2 linked regions of the Sus scrofa genome follow. The protein of the gene in region 1 interacts with the protein of each later gene in a biochemical or structural test. Links are inferred from orthologs where the notes say so. Each region holds a gene or a part of one and is shown on either strand. Other genes may lie near its edges. The genes, in order: COPS7A and COPS6.

Region 1 (2,726 bases):
ACACAGAGACACCCCGAGACCCGGGCAGCCGGAGCCCTGTCTGCGTTAGAAGCCTCGCCTGGCCCCGTGGAAACCACCTCAACGAGATCCCCGGGAGCCTTAAGGACACTCCGGTAGGCTAAGGGAGGAGAAAGCAAGTGCCTGGAGTGATGGGCGAGGAACTAAACCCACAACGGGGCAGGACGTGCTCCAGAGGAAGAAAAGAAGCTGTGTTAACGAACCCAAGTCAGATAAGAACACAGAGAAAACAGAAGTGAGAGAGGCCCAAGGCCTGTGGACAGCGCTGGTCATACTGCATCCTGCCTGGCCCACCCCCCAGGGAGGATCCCCTCAAGAGGACCCCCCCTTCCTCCTCCCAGTTCCTCTTCAGGCTCCTGGGGGGTGCCTCTGCCGCCCAGCCACCCCCCCCCCCCACCCCCGGCCTCCACCAAAGCAGCCCTCCCTTCTTGGGGCCAGCAGAGGAGGGACAGTGCCGGGACCCAGGTCTCACCACTCCTGCAGGGTTCGGGCAATGGCACTGAGGTCCTGGCGCTGGATGTCCCGCCCGATGCTGTAGTCAACCTCCAGCCGCTGGTTGCGCTGGTCCAGGGAGCCGCGAAGCACGTCGGCGTACACGGCCTCGATGACCAGGTCCTCCAGCTGCCGCACGTTCCGCAGGGCCAGGGCCTCCAGCAGCACTGCATATGGGATACACTGGGGCCCGGAGGTCGGGCTGCGGTCTGTGAGGTTCCGCACAGAGAAGGGCTTCCAAGATTCTTCTTCCCTCCTTCCCCCACTGCCCGCCCTCCAGTCCTCCTCCTCAATCACTTTCCGTAAAAGGCAGGTTCTAAGGCAAAATAAATGAAAGTATTCCCACCTGATAAATAACATCCTAAGAAAGAGAATCGTTCACATTTATGTATTTATGACTGTTGTTGTCTTTTTTGACGGCCCCACCTGTGGCACAGAGGTTTCCAGGCTAGGGGGCAAATCAGAGCTGCAGCTGTCAGCCTACACCACAGCCACAGCAACCCCGGATCCGTGCCGCATCTGCGACCTACACAGCAGCTTGTGGCAACGCCAAATCCTTAACCCACTGAGCATGGCCAGGGGTTGAACCTGCATCCTCACAGACACTATGTCAGGTTCTTATGCCACTGAGCCACAATGGGAACTTTTTTTTTTAATATTATTTTCCTTTCTGCAACTTTTTTTTCAGGCACACCCACACCATGGGGAAGTTCCTGGGCCAGGGATCAAACCCGAGACACAGCAGGGAACCAAACCTCAGCACTGGCAACGCCTGATTCTTACCCTGCAAGGCTACTGGAGAACTCCAAAAAGGACAATCTTAAGGAAAACATTTATGCTCCCCTCAATGCCCAGCCCACCACAGGGTGACATCTGCCTGGGTGTCAACCCTCTGGCTCAGCTCAGGACAGTACACGGATGTGGTCAAGACGAGCTTGACCTACGGGACGCTGTGGTGGAGGAGAGGCTGGAGCTCTTCTGTTTATCATTTATACACGGTCTCCTTCCAAAGAGGCAGTGAGCCTGATTTAAGCCAAACCATGGGGATGATGGGAGAGTCAGGGAACAACTGGGAGATGCAGATGGGCAAACAGTTAACAAGAATGGAACCCAACAGGAAATACAAAGATGCTTCTGGGTTATGTATTTTTTATTCAAGCAAATAGAAGCCTGCTACGTCACCAGGAGCGAGTGTGTCCCAGCTCTGGCCACTGCAGCTGCTTCCACGGACTTCATACAGTGGGAGGAATGGGCTGAGGAATAACACAGTGAGTGGCATCCTAGCTGCTATTCTGACCTGACACACAAAAGATGTTTTACTTAGAACATAAGTGGGTTGAAAAACAAAATAGAGGAGTTCTGGTTGTGCCACAGCAGAAATGAATCTGACTAGTAACCAAGAGGTTGTGGGTTCGATCCCTGGCCTTGCCCAGTGGGTTAAGGATCCAGCGTTGCCATAAGCTGTGGTGCAGGTCACAGATGTTGCTCGGATCCTGCACTGCTGCGGCTGTGGCACAGGCAGGCAGCTGTAGCTCTGCTTCGACCCCTCACCTGGGAACCTCCATATGCCGTGGGTGTGGCCATAAAAAGCAATAAAAAAAAAAAAAAAAAAAGAAAAACAAAATAGAAAGCTGGGAGAATAACGTTCCACCTAAAGGGCCACAGGTATCAGAGTAAGACACAGACCTTGGAGGAATGTGGGGAAACAGGAAGAAGCACCACTGTGGTCAAAGCTGTCCCAGTGCAATTCCCTTCAGATGGGCCCTTGTGAAGCCGACACAAAAAAGTGCTCCCTGGCTCAGGACTGGGGGGTCTGTCACTCACCTTGACCTTGGCAGCCAGGGTGACAACTGACAGGTGTCTAAGCTTATTCTTCTGAGCCTCTGTGAGTGGGGGAAGATTCCGGGCTTCAGCTAGAAAAAAAAAACAAGGTATAGAAAATCCTGATTTCACTTGTGTGGGAAGCCCTAGCCTCTCTCCTCTTGATTTTTCTTTTCTTTTCTTTTTTTTTTTTTTTTGAGTTTTCTGTGCCAATTTGGGTCTTGACCTTGACCCTGTACCTATGGGATCTAAGTCAGGTATCTCAAGAATTTCTTCTACATAAACTGCCCATCTCCCATCTCCAGAGTTCCGGCCCCTCCGGATACCTAAGTAGTCAGCGTATGTCCCATAAGCAAACACCGTGAGCAGCCGGAACGTGGAAGCGAAGTCACTCT
Region 2 (3,600 bases), on another chromosome or scaffold:
ATGATCTACACCAATGCGTTCAGCCTCCTCTGTGGCCAGGGTATAGGTCAGCTCAGCAAAAAGCATCGTGGCCTACAGGGCACAGAGAGAGAGTCAAAAGCAGGAAACACCGGGAGCAGGGTCTGAGAGTTGAAGGGTATGGCATTACCTCTCCATTGATGATATCTATAACAGACTCAAAGACGCTGACCGGAAGCTGTAAAGAGGAGATGGGCGAAGAGCTCTTAGTAACAGCACACGTACCTGAAGGGCCCCAAACCAGGCTTGGCCCTTTCGCATTCCGTTTTTCTATGTCCCCAAGTTACAAGTAGGAATTATCCCATTTTAGTACATGGGGGAAATGCAGTTTAGAGGTTAAATGACACCCAAAGTCTCAGCTGGTAAAGAGAAGGGAGAGTCAATTCAACAGAGGCGATACAGTAAAAAACAGGATGAGAATTAAAATCTGGGTAGGCATAGCAATGGACAAGCAGGACAAAGTAGCCACGGGCTCAGTATTACTCACATCTGTGTGCTTAGTCATAGGGTTCAACTTAAGAAACAAAGGGCTCTCAATTATCTCGCACACCTGGAAGAGGGGGCAGATGCACCTGAGTGCCAGGGCCCATTTTTCTCCCGCTCATCCTCTGTCCTCCGCCCCAACGTGCAAACGGAAGTGTGTATACCTGCTTATGGACGTGGATATCAGAGGGGTCAGGCGGTCCCCCTGTGGTATACCAACCCAGAAACTCCAGCTCCTTGAACACCTGTTTAACTGAGGAGGAAAGGGCCAGAGCACAGAGTATTTTTTTTTTTTTTTTAAATATCGCTTCTTTAATTTGAAGCTCCTGGTGGATTTTAACCAGCTTCTCCCCATCCCATCCCGGCTCAGTTTAGAGTAAGTCATCTCTTCTATCTTCTCCTTACTTTGTGGGAAGTAACCAAATATGTTCTTTTTTTTTTTTTTTTTTGGTCTTTTTTCCATTTCTAGGGCCGCTCCCGCAGCACATGGAGGTTCCCAGGCTAGGGGTCCAATTGGAGCTGTGTCCGTCGGCCTACACCACAGCCACAGCAATGCAGGATCCGAGCTGCACCTGCGACCTACACCACTGTTCATGGCAACACTGGATCCTTAACCCATTGAACAAGGCCAGGGATCGAACCCGCAACCTCATGGTTCCTAGTCGGATTCGTTAACCACTGAGCCACGACGGGAACTCCCAAATATGTTCTTTTTTAAAGATCTCTACAGCTACCTTCTCGTCACTTGGCCTCCATTCTGCTCATCTCCTGTTTATTTTTTTCCCCCCAACCCTCTCCACCTTCCCTATTCTGATTTTCTTTCTTTTTTTAACTCCCACTCCTCTCCCCCACCTCTATTCCCCTCTCACACTGCTCCTCCTTGGTGTAATAATATTCCTTGTCAATGATAATCTTCTCTTCCACGGTGTGGGACAGCAGCTCAAAGGAGTTCATCACCTCGATATTTCGGCCCTCCTGCTTCCCGATCAGAGCCCCAATCACTGGAGGAGAGGACACAAGAGGTGAGGGTAAAGAATCCTGAAACTTAGTTAAATCAGTATAGCCTGAGGGTCTGAGGTCAAGTGAACCCAGTACTAGGGAAACGGGTGGTTTGCGGCGGAAGAATTGGCTTCAGCAAAGGAAAGGGAAGGACCACCGTTTGGGGGAGATGACCAGGAAAAGAAGGCCAGAGAATTACGCCGAACACTCACCCTGCATAGGCCGCCCCTCCTGGGAGCGCATGCGAATCCAATGGTCTGAGATGTTGAGAATGACGAGGGGGTGAAGGGCGACTGAAACACTGCCAGTCACTCCGGAGGCCATCACGCTGGGGACGACTAAGCAGTTGGAAGAGAGGGTGAGAGTCCGGGTCCCACGTTCCCCCCGGGAGATGGGAGGGGAAGCCAGCAGAGCCGGGCCATACATCCCTCCCGCAAGTTATCCCAGGGAACGCGCCGCTGACCCGCCCTCCCGACTTCCCCGGGAGTCCAGGAAGGCCTTGACGCGCCCCAAGGGCGTCTCCAGAAGCCGCTCCCTCCCGGTCGGTTACCTGCTGCATCCACCTCCATCCCGCTGCTCCCTCCGGTCCCGTTCGCCGCAGCCGCCGCCGCCATTTCCCCCGCGCCCGCCAGTGTCGGCCCCGCCCCCTCCCTGCCGGCTTCCGTAGGCAGCAGCGCATGCTCAGTGCGGCCGTGGCGCGCGCCTGCCCAGACCCGCGCAGGCAGCCCTGGGTCGGGGAGAGCCGGCAGGTCTTAGTAGCCCTCTCGCCTGCCTCTGACCTTGAACAACTTACTTAACCGCACCCTGATCGTCCTAAAGTATACTGGGATTAGACTGCCTACTTTGTAAGGCTGCTGCAGCATGAATGAAACTTCATGTTGTTGCCCTCAGAGTAAAAGCCACACTCCTAACCACCTGCAAGACCCTGTAAGATCAGACCCCTGCCCGCCAGCCAGCCCTGGCCTCTGCTTTTCTGCCCTTTGATCGCCGTGCTTCAGCCACATTGGCTCTCGTGTCTGTTCCTTGCACACGTCTCACTCATCCCCACCGAAGGGCGTTCTGTCGCCTTTATCACTGTAACACGTGATCAAAACTACCTGACATATGGGCACCTAAATGATTTCTTTTTCGGGCCGCATTCACAGCATGCAGGAGTACTCGCACCAGGGACGGAACTCACGCCACAGCTGTAATCAGAGCCACAAAAGTTCAAATCCCGCTGAGCCACAGGGGAACTCCATAAATGATTTTTGAGTGAATGAATGGTTTGCCAGTGGAGCCTGGTCCTGAGTGCCTTGGTCTACACATCCTTTCTTTCCTCCTTCCACCTCATTACCTACAGCACTGAGAACATCCCTGGCATTTTCTAACCCCTCCCAACTTCCCTCTACCCTCCGTCTCCGTTAGTCTTTCAAAACTCACTTCTGGGAGTTCCCGTTGTGGTCAGCAGGTTAAGAACCCAACTAGTATCAATGAGGATGTGGGTTCGATACCTGGACTTGCTCAGTGGGTTAAGGATACAACGTTGCCACAAGCTGCAACAGAGGTCACGGATTGGGCTCAGATCTGACATTGGCTGTGGCATAGGCCAGCAGCTGCAGCTCGGATTCGACCCCTTGCTTGGGAACTTCCATATGCCAAGGGTGCGGCCCTAAAAAGAAAAAACAAAAAACCACCTCCGGCAAACCTAGCCCACTCCAGCCCTCTCCCCACCCCTACACCCGAGCAAGTTGTGTACACTGCCTTTACCCTGTCTTGTCGCCCCTACAATTTGGCTGGTTCTTTAGGTGTGTCTGTAACACACCCAAGTGTTAGCTCCTAAAAAGCAGGTAGAGACCTGTACCTTTACCTGCGGAGCCTACTCTGCTGCCCAGAGATGTTTTCTGGTGATAATAGTGACTGGTGCGAATTAAGCTATCTCTCCATTTAAGAGCCTGCATAAAGGGAAATTAAACGACCAGCAACTCTCAAAGTAAAGGCCTGAGAAATCCTGCAGGGAGGGAGATCTCCTGGCCAAAGGGAAGTTAAGAAAGCGTTCCTCTCCAAAGCAACAAGCAAACACAAAAAACAAAGGAAAGAATAAAGAAAGAGGAGCTCTCA

What was found.
Region 2: the proteins of COPS7A (region 1) and COPS6 form a complex in vitro, tested with the Homo sapiens proteins (3 studies listed by BioGRID, with this or other methods). The link is inferred for Sus scrofa from reciprocal best matches to the Homo sapiens genes COPS7A and COPS6.

The regions. Positions count from the first base shown.
Region 1 is NC_010447.5:63,972,041-63,974,766, forward strand, and holds part of COPS7A (COP9 signalosome complex subunit 7a), read right to left. Parts: coding exon 2,658-2,726; intron 2,424-2,657; coding exon 2,335-2,423; intron 694-2,334; coding exon 491-693; intron 1-490.
Region 2 is NC_010445.4:8,001,255-8,004,854, reverse strand, and holds the start of COPS6 (COP9 signalosome complex subunit 6), read right to left. Parts: upstream 2,154-3,600; 5' UTR 2,115-2,153; coding exon 2,051-2,114; intron 1,839-2,050; coding exon 1,713-1,838; intron 1,503-1,712; coding exon 1,371-1,502; intron 755-1,370; coding exon 666-754; intron 569-665; coding exon 506-568; intron 197-505; coding exon 149-196; intron 73-148; coding exon 1-72. UniProt on the Homo sapiens protein: Component of the COP9 signalosome complex (CSN), a complex involved in various cellular and developmental processes.